Linked DNA regions of Schizosaccharomyces pombe. Changing the gene in region 1 together with any one later gene gives a genetic interaction. Each region holds a gene or a part of one and is shown in the gene's direction. Other genes may lie near its edges. The genes, in order: nop16, ftm6, SPOM_SPAC9G1.07 and ria1.

Region 1 (7,135 bases):
AATAACTTATGCTAACACTATGGTAGCTCTTTCACCTGCTCAAATTACCGATGTTTTGCAGCTAGACAAATTGAAGGATCGTTTATGGAACGTTCAGCCAACATGTGCTCTTACAGGAGACGGGCTGTTGGAGGGTCTGGCTTGGCTAAGTCAAAACGCAAAGTTAAAATAATTTGCTTCTTTGATTTGTTAATACATGGTGTTTATTTCGTTCGTTATCCCAAGAATTGCAAATAATTACATCGATCAGCTTCCGTTCTATCCCTTTATCGTTGCTTAATTAAATCTGTACAGTCTTTACTATTCATTTTCTTTCTTTAGCATATAACTTTACTATTGCCAATCGTTTCCCTATTCCTACTATCACTTTATAATGTGCTTCATTCGGCCAAATACATTTGGATAACAGCCATTTTTGTCAATAAAATATTTCTTAATTTAATACAGAAAAGTGATCAATAACCAGATAATATAATTATCGCACACTTCTTATCCAACAAAATCTAAAACCAGTTATTTTAAGCGAAGTCTCATGATATGTATCCAAAAACATCTAGACAAACTTGATTTAATGTAGACAAGTTAAAGTTCTTTTACGGCGTTTATAAATGCCTTGATCTTTTCAAGATCTTGTTTCCCGTCAGTCTCCACCCCACTCGATACATCGACTACAGCTGGGCGGCTAACAGATATAGCATCTTGTACATTTTTAGGTGTTAGACCACCAGCTAAGACATAAGATACTGGAATGAAAGATGCAGCTTCCCAGTCTACTTTCTTGCCTAAACCTCCTGACTCTCCACCGACATATGCATCAATCAAAGGTACAATATGATAGTTGGGCCTTGAAATTTCAGAAGAATTTAGCGGAAACACCTTAATAACAGGTCTATCGAGCATATGTATCCATTCGAAAGGTTCTTGTCCATGAAGCTGGACAATATCCAAGTTCACTTCTGCTATTATAGAACGAATGTATTCTAATGGTTGATTTTGGAACACACCGACTAACAAAGGGTGCGGAGAGGAAGCAAGATTTTCATACTGATGATCAAACCAACTTTGACCAGTCACTGCTTTCTTTGGGGAAATGTGTTTTCTATTGGTTGTATGAACAAAATGTGAAATTTCCTTGGCCACGGACAAGTCCACTTTTCGTTTGCTCTTTTCCACAAAAATTAACCCTATCAAATCGCCTCCTGATTCTACAATGGTTTTAGCAGCTAACAATGAACGAGTACCACATACCTTCACTAGGGGTGTTGATGTTTTTTTACCATTAGATATCTCGCTAGAAGAAAGATTAAGTAACTCTCGTGCAAAAGCGGCAGGATCCGAAGCTCTCATAAGAGATTCACCAACAAGAACTGCTGATACACCTTGACTACTATAATGGGCAACATCAGCAGGACTACTAATTCCACTGAGAGCTGCAAGAATAACATCATCTGGGACCATTTCGGCTAATTTTGATGTAGTGGAAAGGTCTACTTCAAAACTATGCAAATTCCTGTTATTAACGCCGATAACTTTAGCACCAAGTTCTATAGCAGTCTTCATTTCCTCAGCACAGTTAACCTCTACTAACGGTTCCATGCCCAAAGATTTAGAAAATTTATAGAGGGACTCTAATTGTTCACGGCTTAACATCGCAACGATTAGCAATACACTATCAGCACCATTCAAACGAGCCTCCATAATTTGATAAGGGTCAATAATGAAATCCTTTCTCAAAATTGCAGGCCGATTAGCTACATGCTCAACAGCTTTTCGCGCAACAAACAAATCATTCAATGAGCCTTTGAACCATTTTGGTTCTGTTAACACAGATATGACTGAGGCGCCAACCTGAGCATAAGTAAGAGCTTGGATAGCAGCATTTGCGTCTAACTTAATGTCACCTTTAGAAGGGGAAGCACGTTTGACTTCAGCCATTAAAGCTGGTTTAGATTGCTTTAATCTCTCATAAAAATTTATACATGGAGGTGCTATGTTAAGGTTCAAATATGTTTGCAAATCACCCACAGAAAGACCAGGCTTTCTTTTACTTTCAGCAATGTCAATAAGTCTCTGCGCGTGGATTTTCTCAAGGATAGATTCTTGTTTGCGAATTTTAGTTGAAGAAACAGAATTCGAATTTTCACGCATAGCCGCGTTAAATGCGTTATTTTTTGTAGGCATAACAATGCCATTTTCTTCCCAGGTTCCAGCAGTGAGATTCAAAAAATTCTGAATATACTCTTTGCCATACTCACTAAGGATACTTTCAGGATGGTATTGAACACCCTCAATAGCATACTTTTTATGGCGTGCACCCATTATTACACCATTCTCGGTCCAGCTTGTAACGTCCAAACAATCAGGAAGTGATGAAATTTTTCCAGCAAGAGAATGATATCTTGTTACAGAAATATTTTGAGGTATTCCTTGGTAAAATCCGAGACCGTCGTGATTTATTTTAGAAACTTTTCCATGTATGATTTCACCAGCGGAATCAACTTTACCACCCATTGTCTCAAAAATACACTGAAGTCCCATACACACACCAAGTATAGGAATCTTTCCAGCAAATCTCGAAATAGCCTCGTTACAAATACCACCATCACGCGCAGGATGTCCAGGCCCAGGTGAGAGAACTAGTTTTAAAGGATTAAGTTTTTCTAATTCATCGACAGTGATTTCATCATTGCGAAAAACCATAATAGGATATCGTTTTTCCAGATTAGAAAGATATTGAACAACGTTCCAGGTGAAACTGTCATAATTATCTATCATAACAATTGGTCTTTCAGCAACTTCTTTAACTGCATTTTCTGAGGCGTCTCCTTTGACGCTTTCACCAACGTCAACTTTTTCAGACATTTTCAGCTTGTTATAATTGAGACGTGCTAACGTTAATTTTCCAAAAACTCAAAACCAAAAATGCTGAATGAAAAAGTAGCCGATGATGGCAAATGACAATTTCGACTTTTGAATGATCGGGAAAGATAGTATAGAAGCGATGTTTCTTGCTAATGTATTTTGCGAACTGCAACGAAAAATATATTTGGTTTTAAGACATTGCAACTAAGAAATCATCGCATAATGAACGTTAGCAAATAACGATAACAATCGTTGTACTATTGTACTAGAATTAGCAGGTAAAGAAGAAGTTTGACGAGGAGAAAACGAAATTTTTTTTATACTGGGGTTAGGGAATAACGAAATCATAAAAATAATCTTTAATTAGGCATAAAAAAATAATTAAAAAATTGGTGTTTCAATTGTCGGTTCATTTAAAACTGTTAATATAATAAAGTTGTAAACCAAATGACTAAACAGTGATTTTAAAAGTATCCTATAGCTGTTGTTTACTCTGGTAATTCGACACGTAAAATACATGATTTCTCGACTTCAACAATTCTTGGGAATTTTTAGAAATTTACAGTTAGTGCTAGATATTGGAATGCCACTAAAATTAGTGTATTCGTTGAGGAAGATCAATTTATAAATTTTGTTTCAAGATTTTATTGAAATCTCTATGAGAATATTATATCGTTTCACAATTCATACAGCTTTATAATGTAGACAAAAAAAAGATGAGGGTACTTAAATTTTATACAATACCAAAAGGATTGATGATAAATGTGATAACTGTCAACGTCTATTAATTTGAGAAATATAAATTAAATGGACAACAGTCATTGTTAAACTAGGTCACAGAACTATCTTATTGTGTTTCGTTGAAATATTATGTAGACATACTGCACGTAGTCTACATTCACCTCCACTTAAACTCACGAACAACCAAATTTTTTTGATTGCTTACCAATTTCCATTTCCCCCCATTTATCTCTAAATAGATAAGATGGCAAACCCTAGACAAAGGAATAAGCAAAGATCTGGAAAGCCTCGTTTAACCAGGCGTAATGCTAACAAAAAGGCGAAGGCCAAAATTTACGGAAATTTTGTGATTCAACAAAATTGGGATAAACATGCAACCTTAAGGCAGAAGTAAGTTAATAAGTATTGCTTTATTTGTTTTATACAAATGAAAATTGAGGAAAAAGTTTTGCGCTCCTTCTTGGTCTTATGTTCTTTTCTTTCTTATAGAATTGCTATTAACAAATAAATAGTTATGCGAGGTTGGGTCTTTTAGCTACTCCTAATTATGTTACGGGAGGTGTTGAGAAGCTTTATCCTGATCCTAAACGTGAAAATGAGGATCGTGAGCTTACCTCAGAGGAATTGGATGAATTGAAAAAATCTTTACCACCTGGTCAAGCAATTGTTAGAAGAGATGATGACGGAAATATTATTGAGATTATTCACGGAGAGGCAAAAACACTTGATGATGTTTTAGACAAAGAAATTAGCATTGCACCGGCTAAAACGGAGGTTGTTCGTCAACTAGAAGAAGAAGCTGTAAAAAAAGCAGCTCGACAGTCTAACAAAATGCTTCCTTTAAGTGCATTTGAACATGCATATATTCAAAGACTTATAAATAAGTACGGAACTGAAGATTTTGAAAGTATGGCCAAAGACGTTAAATTAAATTCTAAATTATTTAACGGATCTAAGCTCAAAAATTTGTATATTCGCATGAAGGCTACAAAGTAAACATCAATGGTGATATACGGACGGTAAAATGGTGATTGTGTTCTAGGTATATTTAAATTAATAAATTTTTATTTCAATACTATTAATTCTATTAGAAAGCAAATATTGAGACGACTAATTTGTATGAAACAATAATTACACAGTATGTATTTCTTCGTGATCCAATTTTGTATTATACTATCGAAAAAGTAGTGAATGAAAACATGTATTTAAAAGAAATTGCTTAAATGGATATCAGCTAACTATACAATTATAAATGAGCGTTAGACAATTCGAGGACAAATGAGAGAAATAAAAACCGGATTATGCTATGTGAATGCAATTGAACACTAAAACGAAATTTCGGGGAGAAATCGATTCCAATGATAAAAATGATGTTCTAAGGGAGCAAAAATTGCCAACTTAAGATATAATACACTTGTTATGTTTTATAAGAAACTTTTTAGATGTCTTTTTGGGAACCGAAACCTTTGTAACTTTTGTTTGCGAAACAGGGGGCGCAGAAGTAACAGGGGTAGATGAGACAGCTGGTGCGTGCGGTGGAGAAGTTTCAGAGGCTGTAACAGGTATTTCTTTTATAACGTCTTGATTTGGGTATTGTGATGAAGTTATGTTTTCTGGTTCGGGCTCCTGAATCTGATTCTCTAGAAGTGCCAACCGCTCAATTGCTTCACTATGTCCTGCTTTAGCAGCCTCATTATACCAGTATGTTGCCTGTTCTGTATTACCTCTTGTATCGAATAAATAACCCATCAGGAATTGAGCATTAGCATTACCAGCCATAGAGGCTCTTTCAGCATGCATAAAGGCTAAATCCTCATCAACGGGTATACCATCCGAGCCGTTCAGGTACCATTTTGCAACCGCGAGATCAGCTTCTGTTTCCCCCCTTTTAGCGGCAGCACTGTAATAGAACAAAGAATATCGAGGAACGACAGGGCAGCCGTATTTTCCGAACTCATAGACAGCTCCCATTCGTAATTGAGCCGATGAATGACCCAAAAAAGCAGCTTTCGCAAAACTTTTAAGTGCAGTTGCTTCATCTATGGGAACTCTAATATTTTCAGACCCTAAATCTACTAATCCAGGATGTTCATGAAGATTCACCAAAGCATGACTATACAGTCCGGATGGAACATCGGCATCAGCTGTATCTGCGCTTCGTTCGAGAAGTTCTAGTCCACTAGCGTGCCTGTGTGCATATTCTCCAACACCGTCCAACATCCCTTCCAAAATTAAAAGCGATAGTCTCCAACAGCATGCACTGTCATTCTCTGAAACACCCTTTTCAAAATATTCGACGGCTTCTTCTAGGTTACCTTGATCTTCCAATAACACTCCTAATCTGTACAAGCTTCGTGTATAGCCTAGATTAGCAGAAGAAGAGTATAAGTCCCAGGCCCGCTGGATATCAGACTCTACATCAAAGGCACCTGTCTCGTAGACATAGGCATCGAAATACATTGCTTTAGCATTCTCTAACTCTGAAAATTCTCGAATTTTATAGAGCGCGTTTTCGCACATTGATTCCAAATAATTAATTTCATGGAGGTTTTCGCTTTCATATGTTTGAAGATATGGTAGATGAGATTGGGTAAATCGAAGGACGTATTCTGCCCACTCCAATGCTTCGTCAATGTCTTGAGAATGTACAAGGTCTTCATTGGCGCGAATCCAATCAAGTTGCTCTTCATCGGATACTGGTAAGGGAAAAGGTAAATCCGCTACTACCTGCTTTTGCAATGGGGATCCGTTATTCGGTTTAGGGTTGTGATTAGAAAAATGTGCCTCTTCATGAGGGAATACAACGTCCGCGGCTTCATTAGATGTACGTAAATATCCTGGGGCAACACATGGTGTAGAATGAGAGCGAGTTGCTGAAGGAGCTGAGTTTCTAATATTCGGCAAAGGACGGTCCCGTTTTGTTTCTTGTGAGCTGGTAGCGCGTTTAATAGTTAAAAGAATGCTAGAAGAGGATACGTTCGGTCGTGAATAAAAATTCTCTTTTTTCATGTTGGTTACAGAGGCACTCAAACTTTGTGTATCGTTCATTTCCGGTGCAATCATGTCGCCAATACCGTAGGCAGGTCCAATGGCATCTGTTTCAAAGGGAATGCTAGATTGAACATTGGAGAGGTAAAAAGCATTTATTCGTGAGGCAACTTGAGGATCGGTTATAGAATGCCCAATTGAGGACCTGTTTCTGCTTTTGATACCGCGTATATTGTTCACCGACTGAGAAGAATATGAAAATTCCGGCACACCCAAGGGGCTTCTATTTCGCATAGAAGATGCTGAATCCATTTAATGGACTTTTTAGGAGAATAGTCAGATTAGCAAAAGAAAACTCGTGTAACGTGAAAAAAAAGAGAGTAGCTAACCACTTTATAAACTTTAAAACAGATTTGTAGCGAACCTAGCAACTTTCACTAGAGGAAGATTTGAAAACAAATAATGTCTATAACTTAGATCCTTTTCCTCCTCAATCGCGTTCTAAAAGTAGATCTTATAATGAAAGGGTAGTGGGAGTTGTCAA
Region 2 (6,717 bases), 4.4 Mb from region 1:
TACCAACTTTTTTAAAGATGCGTCTTCATAAAACACTAGCATTGCTGTTATGCAACCTAGTTCTCCATACTCTAGTTAAAGGTGAAGTAGACGCCAAAGCAGTATCTATTACTACATAAAAGGAAAACTCTACCTTGTCAAACCATAATGGACTGCCTAAAGAAGCCAAAAAGCTCACTCTTAAGTGCAGTTGGTTCATTGTGGAGGAATCTAACGGTGCCAGAATACATGCTAATTTTTTTGCACAAAGCTTCGATAAAAGAGAAATTGCTTTGTCTTTTTTTGAAGCAAATGAATGGCAAAATATAATTGGCTGGAATGATCAAGTTGAGGAGATGATTGACTTTGTAAAATCAAGAGACACGGTGATCCAAAAATCTTTTTTTGAGGAATTTAATTCCCAAAACCGAGAGATGGGATCATTTGCATATTCTGGTAACTCGGAATCGGTATGGACGGGCGAAAATATTACAAGTATATGGAAAACTATTTTGATTAATGAAACGGGTTCTTACTGCGTAGCTGCGAGACCAATGACAATGGATGGAGCTGAATTTAATTTAGACCTTATGGGGTATTCGGTTTCAGAAGATCAAATTAATAATGACGAAATTGGCATTTGGAACTATATTTCTGTAGCTGAAATGGGAGGAGTACTATTATTTTTGAGCTATTGGATATGGACTTGTTTACATTTCAGCAAGATTATATTTCCTGCTCAAAAGGTAATCTGCCTTTATATTTTTCTTTTTGCGTTAAATCAGACTCTACAAGAATGCATTGAGGAGTATGTTTTTTCTTCCGAATGTATAAAATACAGACAATTTTATTCGGTGTATGAAATAATTGATTTTCTTCGGACAAATTTTTATCGATTATTTGTGATTTACTGTGCATTGGGTTTCGGCATAACTAGAACTGTTCCTAAATATCTTATGATAAAAGGAATTAGTATTGTCATTGCTTTATGTTCTGTATACTGGATTTCTTTATATAAAGACGTATATGTAGTATCAGAGATTTTTGACATGATCCAGTATGAGGTATCTCCTGCAATTTGGGTGTATTCTATTTGTCATTTATTGAAACAATGCACGTCTGTAACAACTTACGAAAATGCTTCAAAAGCCAGATTTTTTAGAAGAATGCTAAATGCATTTATCTTTATATTCTGTGCATCTCCAATGTTGCATTACCTGTCGAATATTATATTTGGAAACTTTGATTACAGACTGTCGGTGATCATTGGTGATCTTTTCACTTTTATGGAGAAAATTGCTTTTCCATGTTACATAATGTTTCCCACCCATAATGAAGCACTTGCCTACAATCGAAATGTAGCTGAAGAGGCTCAAGAGAAAATGATTTGACAAAAACCATGGTTTACTTGATTCACCTTTAAAGGGGTTACCGGGATTATTTTATTTATTATTTGTTTATCAATGGATTAATATCCAGTTATTTTAATCTCACTTTTTTACACAGAAATTGTGTAGTAAGTTCATTCTTATTTAATATACCACCTATTTATTTTTTACAAATGAATATTTTTTTACTGGAACGTTTTAAATACACATAACCTTTGAGTCGATGTGAAATAATGTTTTGTTCAAACTTAAAAGTTGCGAATCTGACATATAGACAAAAAAAAAATAAAAAGAAAAAACTGGTTACCTTCATAAACATATTTTGCTAATTTATTGAATTTAATTATTTTCAACTTGCTTTCCCATTTTCCCAACAATTTTTTTATCTATAATATATATTTTACAAAATTAATATAGTACATCGCATGGTTTTCTTTAAAACGACATAAACGTATAATAATAAACGGGGATTCAAAGTAATAAATCGAATCCAAATCAACTTTCAAATACATCCATTTCATCTACTTTACCCTTATATTCCCCTTCATATCCCCAACAAAAAACAGGAATTTGCGAAAGTAGTAAATGGTAAAAGTGAATAAATAGAATCAAGGTTAAAAGCTTACTTGTATGCATAAGAAGATAACTCCCTCCTCTTTACTTTTGCTTAAAAACAGATTCTGAGATTCGGGACTAGCATCGGTAATATAAGTTTTTCTTTCATACTGTTGAGTACTAGCATCAGAACCCTTAATGGTAGGAAGATCATCATCATGACTACGCCTTTGTTCAATCGAGTAAACATTTGCTGGTTCGTGCCAGTCACACTGAGAACAACAAAGTACCTATTATTAAAAATGTTAGCAAGCGATCGCTAACAAGTTGAAAAGTAAACACCTCCAACTATTCCATGGAAAGCATGTAACAATGAAGATCAATGAATGGCTATTAGCTTAACAAACTTGTAAACTCAAAACAGACTAACAACGTTTGTCAGGCACTAAGAGCAATAATGGAACAGACTTCATATCAAACGCTTTCTTGAATGTTCTTACCTTATTCGTATAAACCGGAAGAACAGGCACAATGAGAACCGTTACGGTTTTCAACTGACGACATACTCGGACTAAAAACAAAATGTTATGTTAACATTAATAAGACAAGTTTAAAAAAAAAAAGAAAGAGCCAATTGCTTTCGAAACTACTCAACTTGTTTATTTCTCGTACCAGTCTTCTTTGAACTAAAAAAAAAAAAAAAGCATTAGCAAAATGTGTTGTCAAACGGATAAAAAGAGAACAGGAAGAAGATTGCTGGAAACAATTTTAAAACAGCGAATAAAAAAAAAAGAAAAAATAATAATAATAATAAACAAAATACGAGTCGCTAATTTTTGAAACTAATCGCTTCCAACAACTGTTTCATTATAACTTCACCATTTTAATATTGTCCCCAAACAGCATGATTTAATTCTCTTTCACTAATTTCATACCACACAGGACACGTAAGTAAAACATCCTTATAATCGTCAGTGGATATCCACATATCTCGTAAATGTAATGGCATTGTTAAAAAAAATAAACACTCAAGTGAATAGAATTATGAAGAATTCGAGTCTAGTTCAAAATATTTGTTTTGACAGAGTCCCTCTATTTATACCAAGACTAAGCCTCACAGTGAAATATTGTCTAGCAGTAAAATTGCTGATTTATTTATTATATTGTTGGTACATTTACTCGGAAGTACCATCGGCTTCATCTAAATTCCGATCCTTTACATTTGGATGCGTCGTAGTATATCATAACAAATTTTTTCCTCGTTTCATTAGAACTCACTCCATTAACTCCATTAGAACGTTTTCTAAATTTCAAGTCATTATACTTTTCTCTATTGAGAAAGTCACTAGGTCAGAAAGCAAGAATCATTCTTACTCGAAAACCGATATTAGTGATCTGCACCAGGGCTATAATAATCCACCATCAAGATTCATATCACAATAACAATTCCATAGTATCTTGCTATATACGTGTAATGAGTATTCGATACTGGCTTGATTGCTATTTCTCCTTTGCTTGTAATCGTAAAATTGACTTGAAGATCTAAACCTTCTAATGCAATCATTGGAATTCTGCCTAACCTGATCAAATATGGCTTGATCACCGTTAAGTTAAAAGCAGAAGCTATGCCAATCAGTATGATTGTAACTTACAAAAAAATATAGCACAACGACATACAACATTATGGTACAATAAAGAAGACTTGATATATCAAGAACGAGGTTCAGTTTGTGCTCCGTTTATATTATTGTATTTCTATATATGACATTACTTGATGCAACCGCTTAAATATGTACTTTTGTGTAGTTATACTCGCAAGTACAGTAGCATTTTTAAAGTAGCGGTGATGTTGACGAATGGTTTGTTTCAAATCCATCCATTTCAATTTCAATTGTAAATTTCTCTTTTTCAATTATTAATCAAGTAAGTTGAAGTGTATCAGCACAATAAATTCTGACTATTACTACTCTTAAAATAAAACTCAAGCGAAACTAATTTTTAATAGCAAGTCATATTCTTAGTTTGATATGCTATCCGCTTTGGTTTTGCATTGTTATGACTTTGTATAACCTAATAAGGTGACGAAAAATCAGTTCGTTTATATTTTTGATGAGAAGAATTCACTATTATTACACAGAAAAACATTTACTTCTTATTAGATACCTTCAATATAATATATTTTTTAAATGTAATAGCGACGACACTACCCATAATTTACAATACATTGTATGGTAAACAACTGAGTAGTTGATACACCCGATTTTCATTGAGTCATACACTTTGCGCTTACTATCACTTTATTTGATTAAATGCATAATTTACAAGCCATTCCAATATTTCGCGCACTTTTCGGACATAGTAATAAAAGCCGAGGTAGTTTCGGCGACTTGCAACATGTTTTTTTATCGTCAGCTCGGAAATAGATTTCCTGACAGAGAAAGAAGGATATAAAAATAAACATGATGGGGCAATAAATAAATATTTCACCATTTTTTATATATCATTAAGAACAATGAAGAAATATATCTCTGAAGTAAAAAATAGTTTGGGAAAATATGTATGAAGATCCCGCAACACCATTTGATAATGAGAAACCAGACGAATAGATCATGAATCTTGTACAACTGGGGAAATTACATGAGAATGTATTAGATGCCGGTTGTGAACCAAATAGAAATGCTAGATATTTAGCCAGTCTTGGATATAAAGTCGTGGGTATTGATATTTCCGAAAGGGCTATTTCTAAAGCAATCGATAAAACATCTAGTGAAAAAAGTAATGTCAACTTTAATCAACGCGATTTTTCAAGATTAAATGAATTCAAGGGGCATTTCGACACTGTGATTGACATTGGTTGTTTTCATTCAATTCTAAATAGTGATCATGAGCCATACACAGCTTCGTTAAGTCATATATGTCACTCTGATAGCTCCGTTTTCCTAAGAGCGTTTAGCGAAACAAACAAATCACGTTATAGACGGTGGCAGGGCCATAAAAGGTATTCCCTCGCTTTAAAAAGAAACAATGTCAAAAAGCTTTCTTTATAAACTATTGGAAGATTGAAGACATTAAAGAAGAAAAGTCCTGCTTCATCTTCCCCTAACTAGAAAAATAAATGTTTACACATGGTTTGCCAAAATGCGTTGTAAATAGTTCATGTACATAAAATATATAAAGATGAATGGACATATACATCAATTTTAAGAACCCATTAACAAAAAAAAATTCAGACACTCAATTAGCTAGCTAACAACTGTTCTTTACGAAGAGTTGAAAGAAACTTACAACCAATGGAAACCTTAGAAATATCAAGGCTATGATGCACTAGCGAAAATCCATTAAACTGACCAGAGCTTTTAACTTTGATAGATTGGCTATTCTTATTAGAAATCGATTGTTAACATTCATGAATTCAGCATTATATTAATGGTTAGAAAGTTATGGATCGAATATAAATGCCAAAGAAAGCAGGTGTGAGGTGGTCATTTGCTGAATCAGCAGGATGGATCCATGATGGATGGGATCGTGCAAGTCTAAAGAATTCTTCTGTAGTGAGTGTTCGTTGAGGCGATCTATAGGACAAAATAGCAGAATTGTATAAAAGAACTTGGAAAAAAGTCTATTAAAATAAATTGAGTATACTTTCCATGCCTGTAATTTATAACTTGCTATCGTGCTTACTTAGAATGCTCCGCGGTGAAGCGTGCACCGCGGAAAACTTATTGCATGTATTTTCCGCGTAACTGAGATTATATACATAAGTTAAGTATTTTGTGCATTAATTTTATATTTTAACCGGACCATACAAAAGTAACCAAAAAAGAAAATTGCTTTTAATTTAGAACCTCAAGCCTACTACTTTCAAATAACTTTTGGTGATTTTTTGTTGTATAGGAATACTATAGTGGAAACGACCTTTAGTATTGCTTAATCAATCTACGTAATTACTTGAATAATCGCTAGAAGATTTTCATTTTTTTTTTCAAACAAATTTCTGTGTTTTATATGAAAGAAGAGTCAATTTTAAAAAAATGCGATTCAAGTTCCATAAAACACGTGCCATCAACCCCTCTAGAGACAAACTGTCCAGACAAATATAACCCTAAAACATGGCCTATTCGTTTAAAGGTACGAAATGTCATTGTTATTTCATCAATGACTTTTTTGAATCAATACGGTGATAGTGTCTTTGCGCCAAGTATTTCCAATATTGCAGAGCAATTTCATGCTTCGCGAACCTTGGTCACTCTAGGAGCCACACTTTATACATTAGGGATATTATTTGGAAATTTAATATTTGCTCCACTTAGTGAACAGTTTGGAAGAAGACCTATATATTTAATTGGTTATAGCGTATTTGCACTTCTTCAGATTCCCATTGCTCTGTCAGTAAATTTGGCAATGTTTTTAGTATTTCGTTTTTTTTCTGGACTTTTCGGATCCGTTGGTTTATCAAATGGATCTGGCTCACTGGCTGATCTGTTTGAAAAAAAAGATCGAGGAAAATATATGGTGATTTATTTTACCGTTCTCTCGATTGGACCAGGAATTGCGCCTATAATTTCTGGGTTTATTAGCCAAAGTTCAATTGGTTGGCAATGGGAGTTTTGGATTCTATTAATTTTATCAGGGTTCAATTTATTTTGGGCCTTTTTATTACTAAAGGAAACATATCCCCCTGTTCTCAATCGCAAGAAATTTGAAAAATACGGCGAAATAGGAGAAAATGAACCAGTAGCGTTGCGTCTCACAGGTAAGCAACTGCTTATAAAATTGTTAATTTTATTGAGTATGA
Region 3 (7,667 bases), on another chromosome or scaffold:
CTATTTATCAGCCTAGCGCAGTTGCTTCGCATCCCTTAAAAAGTGAATTTTGCGTTGGAGGGGAGGTATGATACCATATTTTAATTTCCATATAATTATTGACTTTTTTAGGACTGTTGTGTATACATCCATACCCTTGAAAAAGGTGAGCTTTGTGAAGTAGCTCAATGCAAAGATTCAACAGCACCGATTACATGCTTAGCTTACTCTCCGGATGGAAAGTATCTTGCATGTGGTGATGCCTCAGGGAAGGTTGTACTTTATGACGCCAATTCTCGGGAAGTTATTACTTCTCGCTGGGCGTTTCACACTGGCCGTATTCTAGGAATGTCGTGGAATGCAAAATCTACTCATTTAGCGACCGCTTCATTAGACACCAACATTCACATTTATTCAGTAGAACGACCCATGAAATATATTGCGATGAAAAATGCTCACTCATTGGGAGCTACCCAAGTTGAATGGGTTTCTGAAAATGAGCTTTTAAGTACTGGAAGTGATGCTGCAATCAAAGTATGGTCAGTGACCTTTTGAATTCGTAGTACAATTCTCATTTTTTGCAAGATTTTAATAAAAAAATTTTTTTTGTAAGATACTGTTAGCTTTTCTGATGCCATATCTAATAGTTAAAACTTTCTCATTATTATAATCATTAAAATTAAGAAACAAAGGGAATACAGTTAAGCTTGGACATCACGATTCCAATAGTAATAGATATATATTAAAAACATTAAATGAATAATGACTTAGTTGTAAACATCAACCTTCAATATTACACAGAACAGACATTATTTATAGGAAAATTTATAGGATAAAGTCGCAAGATTTGAAATTATTTAAACCGCCTGCCAGGTTGCATAGACTACCCATCTTCCTATCTTTTCAGCCAAAATTAAAGCTCTGTATTCTCCTGTTTCATTAATTGTTAAGGAAAGGCTGAAAAAAATAACGCCATTTCCAGATCGTTCTTCTCTTAAACGCACAATGTTTCCCGTCGGGGTCTGTATTGCTAATCTGGTATTGCTAATGGAGGTAGATGGCTGGCAGGCATAGGCCGAAACATTAAATTTGTATTCAACACCAGAATGCAATGTACCACATTGGGGGGAATTAATATACAAATCAACCGATGGACAATGTGGTACAGGATGACGAGTCACAAACTCTAGAGCTTTATTTTTGCCATGATGTACAAATGGAAGAGACATTGCCATAGGATGAGGTGCAGTCCTCACGGGACTAGAGACTCCTAAGCGACCAGCGTATATCCTTAGCACCGCAGCACGATTATTAGCAGGCATAACAGCTTTAACTCTCATAACACGAATATCCGGAGTTTCCCAGAAAGCCTGTGTTAACGTGTATTTATAACACTGTGAAACATCAGCAGTAGGTGCTAAAGCAGATAGAGCATCAACTTCAGCAACGCATTCAATATCCTTTGGAGCTAAAAATTCGATTTGTAAAACTTCAAGGTCATTTAAATGTAGAATACTGGTATTGAATTTACGCAACTTCAATCCTAAAGTAAAATACACAGACGATACCCAAGGTAATGCCATTACTATAGGCATAGACAAATCTGGCATTATAAACTGCTGGTCCGGATTCTCAGGTACGTGAGTAAATATACACTCGTTTGGTTTCATTAAAAAATAAAAATCATTGGAGCTGCTGGATTTCAAGGCCTGCTGTGGGTGTGTTGGACTGGCAAAACTAGCATCAATTAGACGAACCTCATTGTCAAATGTAACAACATTCCAAGCATGATTTATATTAATATCTCTGGTATAATAGATGTCATCTGGTGATTTAAGATATCCTTCGATAACCTCACACCATAAATCTAGTGCTTGCAACATTTCTTTAACCAACAGTGCAACTTCAAAAGGAGTTCCCTGTCCTTCGGAAATTACTTGTGTACTTGTGCGTAATTCATCATTGTCCAAAGTTTGATTAGTGAACGTAATACGTTCAGAAATATATATAAAGACGGCTCTCATTTGAGCGAGCGCAGTCGTTTGTCCTGGAGCTAAATAATTTTTTGCAAGTACAGCAGGACTGACCTGGACACGTTGTGGAATAATTGACCTTATTTGTTTATCAATAGCACTAAAATTCATGTTATGAATATTAGTACCTACAGAGAACTGCACTGGCTCGCCGTCGGCTAAAACATTCCCAATACATTCACTGAGATCCTTCAATGGTTCATATACCGGCATCGAAAGCTTATTGAAGATTTCTTCCCGTTTCGCCGCAAACTCGGCTTTCGTGTATGTCTTTGTACGTTTCAAATCATCTTTTACTGATTTTAATGTATGAGGCGATGCAGGACGAACACCTTTTTGAGGAACATTGTGCGCCGGATAACTTACCGGAGGAGTTGGTTGGAGACTGGGCTTACGTTTTGACGATCCACGACGCAAAAGCTTTTTGAAAGTTTTTTTTAAAAATCCACCACCTTTTCTAAACGATTGAGCAGTTGAGGGTCGCTCCGTTGTTTGCGGTCTTGGCTTTATAACATTCGACGCGGTGGTCCGAACTTGAGTTAGTGGTATCAATGTTGAAACGGGTCTGGGAATAGGTGCGGGAGCACTCTGAAAACGCCTGTGCTGCGGAAAATAATCAGACGGAGATAAAACTGATGAAGCCATGGAAGGTTTTCTAGAAATATCTCTTGAAGACTTCATAGGTGATTCTCCTGGTTGCAAACTTGTTCTTGGTTTTGACGAATTATCTGTTGAATCATCCAGCTTGGATCGAGAAGTCATACTTGTGGACCCATGTGCAGGAGGGACAGGAATGAAGTCCGTTTCTTTGCTAGTTGTAGTGCTTTTCGTAAGTCTTAAAAGAGGGGAATTCGCTCGACTAAAACTTTTTTTGCCCATTGCATTTAACGATTGAAGAACATTTTCCATAGCACTTCTTAAAGGGGAAGGTGTAGATCTACTTAAATCTTGGGCATCAATCTGAGAGTCGTTATCGGCTGTATTGTCCCATCTGGAAGAGACATCTAAGTTGGTACGAGACATTGAAGATGGCGGTCTAGATACGCTTTTCTTAAGTGACAGACTTGATCCTAGCGAATTGAGCATGGGGTGACTTTTTTGGTGTTTTAGTGAGTCACTCTCTCGGGTTGGTTTATTCAAAGCATTTGAGCTTCCAACGAGATCAGGAGTTAGACCTTGATCAGATGAAGTTATTGGGGTGTCTATAGAGCTTTTTTGAGGAGAAGAATATCTAAAGCTAGAAGCGCTAGTTCTTGACATAGAACTGCCAGGTCGTACCGTGGGAATATCTAAACAGTGAACAAAGTTGCTAGGAAATATCCCTTGTGTATTAGTATTGATATGTCTGCCAATCCACCATTTTCCATCACCTATGCTTAAGCATTCTATTAAATCTCCTTCTGTAAATTTTAAATCACCTGAAAACACATTAATATATATTTTTTAAACTTTACATCAATAATTGCGACGTTACTTAACAGCATCTTTAAATGTTACGAACCTTCACGTTCACCTGGCCATGCATACAGAGCACGTACCATGCATGGTAGTTGTTTAGGAATGGACATTCCTGAAGGCTTAAAGGAATGAAATTATAGTCTTTGGTAGTTAATATAAAAAACGAGCGGAGCGGAAGTTCCGTAACGTGATGTGAGTTGTGTATGAATGTGAAGATAAGATTCTTATTTAAGCGAAGTACACTAATAACTTTGTTTTTTTTTTAGAGCTCAATTAACCGAGTACATCATAATTTTTCTAATAACGCGACTTATATACTTAGCGCACAATTAAAAAATGGAAATATTTTCAATAATACTCGATAAAATGCAGATCGGTAATAAATTCAACCATACTAGAATTTCATTTTAGGAAAATTAAAAAAAGAAAGATATTTGGCTACCATGAAACATTCTTTAACGATAAAGAGTGCGATGTTAGATTCATTTCATGTAGATTATAATTGATTTAGTGAGAAAATTTACTAAAATTGTTAGAAGTCCTAGAAGGGTTCATTTTAACTTGAAATATGTGGTACATTTGCACTTCTGTAATTTTTTTAAAGAGCTTTTTGCACAAGACATAATATTCAAATGATTTGAAACCAGCATCCATATTTATGCGCACTTTAAGCCATATTATTTAGATGAAATAATCTAGGTTTTAATTTACCAAATGTAATTTTCAAAAATTTGCACGATGCTTCAGTCCATATGAGATTCCTCTTTAATAAAGCTAGCAACTTTCGCCAGAGTATTAGATTAATTGTTTACTAGCTTAAAATTTGTTAAAAAACTCTGTCCTATTTTAAAATGATTACTTATAAAATTTATTCTTCTTCCGGAAATTTAATTGAGTTTATTTTATTTTTAATTTCACACTAAATACGTTGAACGGATTTAAGTTGCCTACTTGCGTTGCACACGATGTGGTGGCTTAAGTCGCTTACCCTAGCCGAACCGCTTTCAACTCATCTTGAGCATTTATACTAATACTCTAAAAAGGTTCCTTTTATAAAAGAAGTATAGTTAAGGCTCTTTTTGTTTTCTTTTTAACCCGAAGTTGATGGCACCTACGTTTTTTTTATCCACTCATATATTATTAAATTGAGAATCTACAACTTAAAGAACTGGAATGTGATTTATATGGATGATTTGCTGAACTCTGTTAGTTTTTCGAACGCCTCTAATCCTCATAATGCATGGGGTAGTGAAAATATATCCAACTCGAATTCAGCAATTCCCTCAATTACTAACGATGTCAGTTTTTCAATGGAGGCATCAGTCTGGAAAGAAAATGCTCTCAATCTTGACACATTTAATTTGAAAGATATTAATGAAAAGTTGGATTACACATTTGGCGTTGTCAAGCCTCCTAAACGGATTTCATTGGCATCCAAAGATTATATAGGTATTACAGCTACCTCGGAAACCAATTTTAGACAATTAATCCGCTTAGGATACAATGAGAAAAGTTTAGGAGAACTAAAACAAGGAACCATTAGTCGTTTACTTAAAGAACATATGACTTTATGGAACCAAGAACGGTCTAATGTAAATCGAAAAAGCAATGTGCTTTTTTGTTGGTCAACAGCTTATCAGAAGCAGAAAAGGAAAACAGCAAGCTATACCAATTCACCTGTCACACCGCCCATCAATGACAAAAATATTTTGTTACCGGAACAGTCTCCTTTATCTAATTTTTCTACGACCAAGATTTCCAGTATAAATGTTCCTTCAGATATACTTGATTTTTCTAATTTATCATCGAATGAAATTCCCAAGGATTATTCTTCTTCTACGGCTCTTTTAAATAATACAGTTGCTGTTAAACAGGATCACAAATTATCTGCAAATACTTTCCTTTCTTCCCCAGTCAAATTGATTGAGAGGGAAAGCAACAGTTGTTCTACAATTTCAATAAATAAAGAGGATGAAGTTGTTCCAAAATCACCACTAAGTTTGGATCGTAAAAAAGTTGATGAAGTCGAAGAACATTCATCAATCGCTAAACTTGACTCTGAAGAAAAAATTAGAGAAACGAAGAAAAAAAATTCATCAACGTCTCTTTCCCCGGATCCAACCTCTGATAATTTTGAATGGGGTTCATGGGTCAGTTCCCAAGATACCTCGAAAAACTCATCGAATTTAGCTTCTGCTTCCGTTGATGATGTAAGTGAAGAGTCTCAAGTTGAGCCAAATACTCTAATTTTTCAGAATTTTAGTTCACCTTCTACTTCATTGTCAGCTCCTAAAGACACTCCGGCTGTTATTCAATCGATCAATACTTCGTTTCTTAATAATGAGAGAGCAGGGCGTGGAAATATAAAAACAGTTGACCAAAATCAACTAATTAATAGAATTGTTGATAAGCTTCCGGATCTTAGTTATCTTGTCGATTGAAAATCTTAATGATCAAAAGGTAAACGTACTAATTTTAATCACATAATGGCTAGAGGAGTTATTGTTATATCTATGCCCAAATGAATATTAACTTTATTGTGAACAAATGTTAACTTAAATAAATCAATTCTAAAAAGATGTAAGAGGAATTGCATCTTCAAACAACGTGTTGTGAATATACAAATGTTTACTAATAGATTGAACGAATGTATACCATTCTCTAGGGGATGAAGGCATGTCAGTTTTATCATCACGATTCCAACATGTGAGGTGAAATGGTTTAAATGTTTTACGTAATCGCGATTCTTCATATTCGCTGCATGAACAATGCAATCGCTTTTCAAACAAATACACTGGAACATGAAATGGATGATTGGGCAAAGTTATGGATAGCGGTAGAGTACCTCCAAAGGAAAATATCCCTCCAAGCTGGTATTTAGTAGACAATTTATAACAACTATATAAAGCAACCATAGCTCCTTGACCAAACCCGAAAAAAAATATTCTAGAAGATAATATACCGTAAGAGAGTAGATTGCCAATTAAATTTGAAATCATCGTAAAACTTTTAGAGAAATCGGCTTCAGATTGCAGTTCCCCGTTTTGATCAAAATGGACATCCTCTCCCCACATCCAATTGCCTCCAGGATTTTCAAAATCTAATGGTAATCGATATGGTCCACGTAAGGAAATATAACTAGTGTTGGGCAACGGAACGTTCTTTGCCATATTTGCAAAACTCTTGTGAGAATCTCCAAGTCCATGCATTAAAATAACTACATTGTGAACCTTGTCTTTCCCTTCAATAATCTCTGCGCATGCATTTGAAGGTAGAACACTGTTTAAAGAAGACATTAGATAAAAGAAATACTAAACCCCGAGGTCAACTATTGAGATTAAACTTCTTGCCATTAACTTGGTTCTGTGTCAACAGTTTGTTCCTGAGCCATACGTATTTCCCGAATTATTTGAGCTATTGCTTCTGGGTGTACGTTGTTTTCACAAAGACTGATGCAGAGTGAAAGCGTTGTTTTATCAAGTTCAGTTCCAAGCAATGTTCCTATTTCGTATAAAACTTCTATTGTCTCTTTGGTAGATTCAGACATAAAACTCGATACTTTATAATAAACTAGTCTAATTATATATACTTCGTAACAAGTTGGTAATGTTAAGTTTACTGGAATAGGCGTCTCGGAGTAGCTCATTATAATCCTCTAAGTAATAAACAAAGTACTTCGTGGTGCATCTAGCTTGTGCTTGTAAAACGAAACCGAAAGTAGGCTCAACCTCAGATTTGAGCAGTCAAAATATTGATGAAATGTATCCTCTCAATGCTAATTCTTATACTCTGCTACGGAAATTAGGATCAGGTTCATTTGGGGTTGTCTGGAAAGCACGTGAAAATGTGTCTGGCGACATTATCGCTATTAAACAGGTAAGACTAATTAATTTTTACTCTTCTTTAGTATCACAAAAAACTTACAGTTGCAGATTGATTTAGAAACAGGTATTGACGACATTACCGACATCGAACAAGAGGTATTTATGTTATCGAATTGCAACAGTTCCAATGTAATTCAGTATTACGGTTGTTTTGTTGACGGATACACATTATGGATTTTGATGGAGCATATGGATGGAGGATCAGTTTCGGGACTTTTGAAAATGGGAAGGTTGAATGAACAAGTAATTTCAATCATTCTTCGAGAGGTCCTTTATGGGCTAAATTATCTTCATGGACAAAACAAAATCCACA
Region 4 (9,102 bases), on another chromosome or scaffold:
AAAACAAAAAAAATACATACTACACTATTTATCAGTAAACTAATATTACATAGTAAAAGCATCTCGTTAAATGTTTAAGGAGGTTTAAAAAACACATTAAACCACATACTACTGCGTTTCTCCACAGTATCCACGGAGCGTCCCAGTATATCCGAGTTTTTATTAGAAGAGCGATTTAAGTAGTTGCTTTAAGAAGATACACTCTCCTATCCTAAAAAGGTTTACTCATAATTATTGGTGGGTACCTCTTTAAGTGGTTGAACTTTCTGCTATACGTCGTTTTTTCTATCTGTTGTTAGGTTGGAATCGCGTAAACAAATTAAAAAAAGCAACTTCGAAAATCTATCACTGGGCACTTTTGGACTGGGATTGCTAGTACGTGTACTTGTATTTTTTATTCTTATTTATTTCTTTTTCAGGACCCACATCACAGTACAAAATTAGTCACTTCAAATTAATTTGCTCGTAATATTCCCAGGTATTCATTTACTGTCTTTTTTTTTGGGTATCTTGTTTCATTTTCAACTTCATTCAATCTTCAAAAAAATGGAATTTCCTATCGATGATGAGGAATTGCTAGATGAGCGAAATAAACTTCTCCAAATTTGCAATATGGACGAGCAAACAATGTTCTACAAGTGGGAGTCCTGGTGTTTGCAACGAGGAAATACACCAAAACTCGACCTTGACACATTCAAGGCCTTTGCTAAAGACATGAAATTTCAAATGGAGAGGCAGGTAAAAGCCACACTTAAACAGAATCCTGAAAGAAAATCGATAAAGCAAATCCCGGGAATGAATATTGATAGCATGTGCGTACATTAGCAAATGGTTTTAACTAACAAATATCTAGACTAGGTCTACCAGTGAAGACCACCGCATCAGGCGACTCGTTGATGCAAGAGTCTAAACCATCTACCGAAACTTTCGAATTGAATTCCAGTGACGCTGGAAGGGTTTTGGAAGTTTTAAATAAAGAATTAAAAATTGTAACTTCAAAACCTTCAGCTCCATCCAAGCTGGTTATCGTAGCGAATTTTGATCTCAAGGCATTTAATTACAGGATCATGTATCAAAAGCTTTATGATTCTTCTGAAGTTCTGGATGATCGCATTGAGCTTTTTAGTGCATTAACTTGCAGAAAATACAACATAAGTGATGAAGATTTGGCAAATCCTAGCGAACTTACTCAAGAACCCGTTGTAGTTGTAGGACGAATTGTTGTCGAAAGTACCAATTTAGGTGGAAGACTCAACCAAAATAGCATTTTACTTGAAAGTTCAAGACGTCTAGGCGCTGGTGTTCGAGTTCGTTTGAAGGTGGATGATCTACCAAGTTACTCAATATTTCCTGGTCAAATTGTTTCAGTTAAAGGATCCAATCCTAGCGGTAACATGTTTATCGCCAAGGAAATCCTTCCTATACCTCCTTTGCCGTTCCCAAGTTCATCTAAACAGGAGCACGCTACCTTTGTTGCTAATACAAATAATCAGCCAATTTCTATATATATTGCATCTGGACCTTGGTCTCTCCGTGATGATCTCTCTTTTTCCCCTTTAAAATCAATGATTTCATATGTAAATAAAAATCCTGTTGACTTGGTTATTCTATGTGGTCCATTCTTGGATATTAATCATATACTAATACGTACCGGAAACATTACAGGAACGTCTGCGACTTCTTTGGAAGAGTTGTTTAAAGAGCGTGTCACACCCATATTAAGCCAGCTAACTTGTCCTTGTATTTTAATTCCTCACATCAATGATGCTGCTTCAGATCATCCTGCATGGCCACAGGATGCATTTAATCGGGTGGCCTTAGGTCTTCCATCTGTATGTTAAGTTGTATAATAATTTTTATTGACCAATCCATAGAACTTCAAATGCTTCCCGAATCCTTGCATGTTTTCCATTAATGATGTCGTCTTTGGTGTGTCAACCAACGATATACTCCTTCACACATCTAGAGAAGAGTTATTTCGTCTACCTTCTCATGGTAACTTATTTGCACGTTTGGTTTCTCACGTACTTCACCAAAGGCATTTTTATCCCTTATTCCCTGGAGGTTCTCTTGAAAAGTGCAACCCTTCAAACTTAGATATCGCACATCTTAAACTTGGTGAATTCCTAAATACTATGCCGGACATACTAATTTTACCAAGTGATTTACGTTATTTCGTAAAGGTATGTTAATTTTCTACTTTGTTTTAACTAATGTTATAGAACGTTGAAAACGTTGTATCATTGAATCCTGGTAAAGCGACCAAAGGGATTAATTTGGGCACTTTTGCAAAATTAACTATCGCGCCATTAGAGCTCGGGGATAATGGTTCTTCTAATCATTATTCACATCGTGTATGGCTTCGAACCAAGGCAGAAATTTTAAAACTATGATAATTATACTCTCTTTTTCTGCGGAATTTATTGAAAATATAAAAAATTCAGCGTTAAATATCATTGGTTATCATTATTTATGTAGATGTCTACCATAGACCGTTAGAATTAATTAACTTTTCAGCTTTCATTTTCTATCTATCGCTATTTTGGTTTTCTTCAAATTTTGTTTGCAAAATTACTCATATGTTTATGTTGTTAATTTAACCATTTTCCTCAAATGTCTAAGACAATCTCTGATATATCTCAAATCGCTACTCGCGAACTTTTAGTCGTTGTTTTATAGTTGAATGAGTATTCCTTTTATACTGTAGTATTTGAATGTTCAACATTTTTTCGATTTGGACTCTAGTCTTGGTGTTTCACATCTCAACCTACTTAGTCACTACAGTTGACCTCCAACATACATAGGGGAAGTAGTGCAAATGCCTGTTATTCCTCCAGAAAAGCTTGTGTCCTTACAAAAAAATCAGGAAAATATTCGTAATTTTACATTACTTGCTCATGTAGATCATGGAAAGGTATGAATTTTGCAATTTTAAACTTTTTTGAATAGTTGCTAATGATTAATTAAAGACAACCCTTGCAGACAGTTTACTAGCTTCGAATGGAATCATATCTAGCAAACTTGCTGGTACTGTTCGTTTTCTTGATTTTCGCGAAGATGAAATTACGAGAGGTATTACTATGAAGTCTAGCGCCATTTCATTGTTTTTTAAAGTTATAAGCCAAAATGATGAAAAAAGAGTTGAAAAAGATTACCTGATTAATCTTATCGATTCTCCTGGTCATGTTGATTTCAGTTCTGAAGTATCTTCGGCCTCAAGGCTTTGCGATGGTGCATTTGTTTTAGTAGACGCAGTTGAGGGTGTTTGTAGTCAAACAATTACTGTCCTTAGACAAGCATGGATAGACCGTATAAAGGTGATTTTAGTCATTAACAAAATGGATCGTTTGATTACTGAACTGAAACTGTCTCCTATTGAAGCTCATTATCATTTGCTTCGACTTGTTGAACAAGTAAATGCTGTCATTGGCACCTTTTATACTGGTGAGCTTATGCAATTAGCTGATAACGACGAAGTCATCAGTGATGAAGGTATATATTTCGCACCTGAACAGGGAAACGTTGTGTTTGCTAGTGCATACGATGGCTGGGCATTTTGTTTGGACCAATTTTCAGAATTTTACGAAAAAAAGCTTGGATTAAAACAAAAAGCACTTACAAAATGTCTCTGGGGTGATTATTATCTAGACCCTAAAACTAAAAGAGTTCTTCAGCCCAAACATCTTCAAGGCCGACGGTTAAAACCAATGTTTGTACAATTTGTTCTCGAAAACCTCTGGGCTGTTTATGAATCAGCTGTGAGCAATAGGAACCTTGAAAACATTGAGAAAATCATTAAGGCATTAAACATTAAAGTTCTTCCCCGTGACATCAAATCCAAAGACCCTAGAAATTTGCTACTTGCGATTTTTCAACAGTGGTTGCCACTATCAACTGCAATTTTGTTAACAGCGATTAGGGAAATTCCTTCTCCTATTAACGCCCAAGCGAATCGAGCTAGGAAAGTTTTGAGTTCAACTCCTCATTACGAAATGATAGATCCAGATATTACACTGGCTATGGAAAGTTGTGACGCTAGTAAGGAACAGCCTGTTTTGGTATACATAAGTAAAATGGTAGCTTTTTCTGAAAGAGATCTTCCTAATCATCGTCGCAAACAACTTAGTGCTGAGGAGATGAAATTGATACGTTCAAAATTATCTGAATCAATTGAGAGCGGCATAAATACCATTTCTATTGAGGAAAACGTTTCTTCTACCAACTCTGACAATTTAGAAGGTAGCACAACTGACATGGACGATGATAAGGACATTTTAATTGGCTTTGCTAGGATATACAGTGGCACAATTTCAGTTGGACAGGAAGTATATGTTTATGGTCCAAAATATGATCCAGTCAATCCTGAAAAACATATTACCAAGGTAACGGTTGAGTCATTATATTTAATGATGGGACAGGAGCTAGTTTATTTAGAGACAGTTCCCGCTGGTAACGTTTTCGCAATCGGTGGCCTTGCCGGAACGGTTTTGAGAACAGCAACACTATGCTCATCTCCAAATGGTCCTAATTTAGTGGGCGTAACTCAGCAAATGGAGCCCATTGTGCGGGTCGCTTTAGAGCCTGTTCGTCCATTTGAGATGAACAAGTTAGTGACTGGCCTTGACATGCTTAATCAAGCCGATCCATGTGTTCAAATAGCCGTTGAAGAAAATGGAGAGCATGTAATTATGTGTGCCGGAGAGATTCATTTGGAAAGATGTTTAAAAGACCTTAGGGAACGGTTTGCAAAAATTGAAATACAAGCATCTCAGCCACTTGTGCCATATCGGGAAACTACCATAGCTACACCCGACTTATTAGCAAAAAATAAAGAACTGAGTATTGGCTTTGTCACTGCAACGTTACCAGTTGGCGGAGTTACGATTGGAATTACAGTAACACCTCTTTCTGGGTCTGTCGTAGATTTTCTGCTGAAGCACTCTAAAACAATTGAAAATGTTAGCAGCAATTTTTCAAAGAAAAATAGAAACGTTGTTGTCTCGGAATCTTTAACAAAAAGTATGGAGGAAGTGTTGACTCCTGAGAAGTTTTATGAAAGGCTTTCCAAGCTTTTAGAGGAAGAGAACTCTGACTTAGGCGAGCTGAAAAATCATTTGGATAGGTAGGTTATACTAGTGTTCTATTGGTTGATTACTAACAATACTAGTATCATTGCGTTTGGCCCCAAACGAGTGGGTCCTAATATACTTTTTGACAAAACCAAGAAGATGAGAGATTTTCGACGACAAAGCGATGAAACAAAATTAATACCCTCAGACCTTTCTGAATATGTAGTTACTGCATTTCAACTAATAACGCACCAGGGACCATTGTGTGCTGAACCCGTTCAAGGCATTTGTGTGTCAATCGATCAGTTTGACATATCTGATGACTCGGAAGATAGTAAGTTACTTACCATCAATAATCCCCAAATCCCCGGTCAAGTTATTTCGGTAGTGAAAGAGTCTATTAGACATGGATTTTTAGGTTGGTCACCGAGACTTATGCTAGCCATGTATTCTTGCGATGTTCAGGCCACATCTGAAGTCTTGGGTAGGGTATATGGTGTTGTTTCGAAGCGACGAGGACGAGTAATTGATGAAGAAATGAAGGAAGGGACTCCATTTTTTATTGTAAAAGCCTTGATTCCAGTTGTTGAATCCTTTGGATTCGCTGTAGAAATTTTGAAAAGGACATCTGGTGCTGCCTATCCTCAATTAATCTTCCATGGTTTTGAGATGCTAGACGAGAATCCCTTTTGGGTTCCAACTACTGAGGAGGAATTGGAAGATTTAGGCGAGTTAGCCGATCGCGAAAATATTGCTAAGCGCTATATGCTGAACGTTCGAAAAAGGAAAGGCTTATTGGTAGAGCAAAAGATTGTTGAAAAGGCAGAGAAGCAGAGGACACTGAAGCATTAAAGATAGTACTTGATTCCAATTTCTTTAGGAAAACGAAAAGATTGTAATTTGATGACAATGACCTGGTTAGATGGAGGTAATGTTTTTTTTTTTTTTTTTGTTACATTGTTGAGGTAGCTGTGATTTTGAGTTAAGTGTTTCATGAACTATGGGACTAAGATTAGAAGTCTATAAGATGAATAGTGTAAAACGCACATGCAAGATTCTTTAGGCTTCTTTTTGTTATGTTTTAAATTGTTAATACAAATTCAAATTTCCAAAAAATACCGATGTTGTGGGATATGCATAATACAAATAATGATATACTCTACTGCGTAATCGCTAGAAGGTGATAGATTACAGACGCGACGCGCCAAAACACAAACACATCTTTGTACTAATTCAAATTCTAGTATTTTGAAAACTATTCGCCTTAATGTTTTTTGACGGATGGAAAATGCAAAAGATTTTATAGGAGAAACAATAAAGGAGAATGGATTACTTACCATTGAAGATGATGGTAGCAGTAGTTCAGATGAAGAAGCTACTTTAAAACGACGATTGGCAGGCCCTTCTGTTCTCAAGTCAGGACAGGAAAATGTTAATCAAAAAAAGATTAACGAGATAATTTACGAAGCTTCCAAAGGAAGTAAGTTTTTTGAAGCCGAACAAAAACGAGACCGAGAACTTCGTTTAAGAATAGAAAAGGTTCAAGTTGAGGTAGAAAAATACCAATCAAAATTAAGGTTTGATAAAGCGTTTCAAAGAGAGTGGACCATTAGACAAGAAAGTGTGGATACTACTGTTGAGGATTTTAGGGCTAAACGAGATTTGACCCAAATAATTGTTCATGTTGATTGTGATGCGTTTTATGCATCAATAGAGGAACTTAAGAATCCAAAACTTAAGTCTTTACCAATGGCAGTCGGGAAGAGTGTTTTGTGTAAGTATTCGAATCTGACTGAAACTAATGCTGAATAAGGTACTGCTAATTATGTGGCCAGAAAGTTTGGAGTTCGATCAGCGATGCCAGAATTTATTGCTAGAAAGATTTGTCCTGATCTAGTTGTAATTCCGTTAAATCTTTCTGAATATGCAATAAAATCTAAAGAAATTCAGAATGTGCTTGCTCAGTATGATTCGAATTTGTGTCCTGCAAGCATTGATGAATTTTATATGAACTTGACTTCACATTTACGTCTCCAAGAGCTTGCATTTACTGTAGAAAACATAACGATGGTGGTTGAGAAAATCAGGAAACAAGTGCATGAAGAAACAGGAGTTACAGTCAGTTGTGGTATTGCAGCAAACAAGTTGTTAGCCAAAATTGCAAGCAATAAGAGAAAACCAAATAATCAGTTTTTTATCCCATTTGACGAGATTGGGATTTCAAAATTCATGAATGACTTGCCTGTTAGAGAGGTAAGCAGTCTTTCTATATCTGGTTAAGCATTCTTTAACATTACAGGTTTCTGGTATTGGTAGAGTTTTAGAGCAGCAATTACTTGGTTTGGAAATTAAGACGTGTGGGGATATTCAAAGAAATTTGGTGATTTTATCTTATATCTTTTTACCTAAAAGTTTCCAAAACTTGTTGAGATGTAGCTATGGATTTGGAACTACAATTTTAGACGAATACGGTGAGAGCAAACGAAAAACAATTGGGTCTGAAGCTACATTTTCCAGCAATCTTAGTTCTCCGTCAATAATCGAGTACAAGCTCAGACTTCTTGTACAAAATGTATCTGAAAATTTACAAAAGCGCGGATTAGTCACAAACTCGATCGCTATAAAGTATAAAACAAGCGAATTTCAAGTTCATACCAAGCAAAAGAGCATAGGTCAATTCATTCATTCAGAATCTGATTTATTGAAACCAGCTTTGCAATTGTTGCGTCAATCTTACCCTATGACTATTCGTTTATTAGGAGTCAGAGCAACAAAGCTGGTTAGTAAATCGCGTTGTTTGGCCATGCAACTTGTAAGTCAAGCAAATATACTGCTAGCAATATGCTAATTATTACTAGAAATTCCAAAGCCAGAATACCGTTCCTTGTCCCGTTTGCCAGAAAAATATTGAAAACGAATTAGGTATACTGAACCAACATGTCGACCTTTGCTTAAATGTCGAAACAGTTAAATCCTTGATCAATACCGATCATACTGCAAATCCTACAATCAAAAAAAGAAAATCAAACACATTAGACACATATTTCTTGGAATAAAATTTATTAATCTTGACCTTAAAGCAACATTAAATAAGTTTTGGATTGCGAATCATTGCGCAACTAGCTTATGGTAAAAGTATTTGACAGTTTGTATAGACCAAGTAAAACTTTTAGAGAAAGAATGTCAAAGACAACTATTTTTAGATAAAGTAACCATGCTATTTTACAAAATAACATTGCGGTACTGAAAAATATTACATAAATGTCAACGTCAATTGTAAAGTCATCGTCAAACTCAAAGATTGTAAGGATAGGCCGATTTAAAGACTTTTAGCAGCGATTCCGCACATGATTGCGACGCCAGCAGCGTATGCGCCAAATTGGAAGATGGACAAAGAAGTCCAGTAAATAAACAACAGGATTTCTGCAACGGCCAAGGAGGCAAAGCCAAACGTTCTAGCAAATGAAGATGATGACACAGAGTAAACATTTGATTTTGGTAACAATTTCTGCCACACACCGAGCAAACCGATTAAACTAACCACTACCGAAACAGAAAAGCAAATACTTAGAAAATAATTTGCCCTTTTAGGAGGGGGAGAAAATGTATGAAGAATTACTTCTTTAGGACTTAATTCGTCCAAAGGAGAAAATTCCGCTTTATGGTACAAAGAAGGAGGCACATTAATGGAAAGTTGACCCAAAGGAAGTGAAAAAGGAATGGTTTCACCAAAAGAAGCAACAAGTAGTTTAGCCGTAAGAGTTGAATCACTTCGAAGTAAAGAAGTGGGAATATCAAATAGACGCTATAAGGTTAGTAAATTAATCGCTAAGAGAAGTATTCAAAGTGAGAATTCTTAGATTAAATTAACATTCTAAGCTGCAATTCAACCTTTCCCAGCGTACCAATTCTAATGAAGCGACGCCTCCTTGCGATACCGAAGCAGGATAGATCACAGCGAGAGTCGGGTGTTCAGTATCGCTTAGTAAAAGATGTGCTTGATGAGGAATAGCTCCAGTACCATTTAATATAC

What was found.
Region 2: mutations in nop16 (region 1) and ftm6 together harm fitness more than expected from each alone (negative genetic interaction), as found in Schizosaccharomyces pombe (one large-scale study listed by BioGRID).
Region 3: mutations in nop16 (region 1) and SPOM_SPAC9G1.07 together harm fitness more than expected from each alone (negative genetic interaction), as found in Schizosaccharomyces pombe (one large-scale study listed by BioGRID).
Region 4: mutations in nop16 (region 1) and ria1 together harm fitness more than expected from each alone (negative genetic interaction), as found in Schizosaccharomyces pombe (one large-scale study listed by BioGRID).

Annotation. Positions count from the first base shown.
Region 1 is NC_003423.3:4,376,639-4,383,773, forward strand, and holds nop16 (ribosome biogenesis protein Nop16), read left to right. Parts: upstream 1-3,778; 5' UTR 3,779-3,847; coding exon 3,848-3,993; intron 3,994-4,115; coding exon 4,116-4,599; 3' UTR 4,600-4,685; downstream 4,686-7,135. Other genes in the region: ADP-ribosylation factor-like protein Arf6, read left to right, coding at 27-172; trp1 (anthranilate synthase component II), read right to left, coding at 583-2,862; chr4 (SEL1/TPR repeat protein1, 3-beta-glucan synthase regulatory factor Chf3/Chr4), read right to left, coding at 5,002-6,903. UniProt on the Schizosaccharomyces pombe protein: Involved in the biogenesis of the 60S ribosomal subunit.
Region 2 is NC_003423.3:7,645-14,361, forward strand, and holds ftm6 (transmembrane helix domain-containing protein), read left to right. Parts: upstream 1-2,924; coding exon 2,925-3,365; 3' UTR 3,366-3,707; downstream 3,708-6,717. Other genes in the region: ftm5 (transmembrane helix domain-containing protein), read left to right, coding at 336-1,370; SPOM_SPBC1348.04 (methyltransferase), read left to right, coding at 4,532-4,969; SPOM_SPBC1348.05 (transporter), read left to right, coding at 5,928-6,717.
Region 3 is NC_003424.3:1,978,528-1,986,194, forward strand, and holds SPOM_SPAC9G1.07 (Schizosaccharomyces specific protein), read left to right. Parts: upstream 1-4,465; 5' UTR 4,466-4,654; coding exon 4,655-5,680; exon of another isoform or gene 5,681-5,725; coding exon 5,726-5,911; 3' UTR 5,912-6,015; downstream 6,016-7,667. Other genes in the region: actin cortical patch component Aip1, read left to right, coding at 1-65, 112-534; cytokinesis protein Cyk3, read right to left, coding at 837-3,430, 3,514-3,580; SPOM_SPAC9G1.08C (phospholipase), read right to left, coding at 6,041-6,766; putative mitotic spindle organizing protein Mzt1, read right to left, coding at 6,823-7,017; PAK-like GC kinase Sid1, read left to right, coding at 7,230-7,346, 7,403-7,667.
Region 4 is NC_003421.2:287,094-296,195, forward strand, and holds ria1 (GTPase Ria1), read left to right. Parts: upstream 1-2,786; 5' UTR 2,787-2,818; coding exon 2,819-2,914; exon of another isoform or gene 2,915-2,969; coding exon 2,970-5,122; exon of another isoform or gene 5,123-5,167; coding exon 5,168-5,921; 3' UTR 5,922-6,137; downstream 6,138-9,102. Other genes in the region: spb70 (DNA polymerase alpha B-subunit), read left to right, coding at 547-812, 854-1,832, 1,875-2,183, 2,223-2,393; kpa1 (DinB-like DNA repair polymerase kappa), read left to right, coding at 6,351-6,843, 6,883-7,322, 7,369-7,881, 7,928-8,125; oligosaccharyltransferase delta subunit Swp1, read right to left, coding at 8,389-8,874, 8,975-9,102. UniProt on the Schizosaccharomyces pombe protein: GTPase involved in the biogenesis of the 60S ribosomal subunit and translational activation of ribosomes.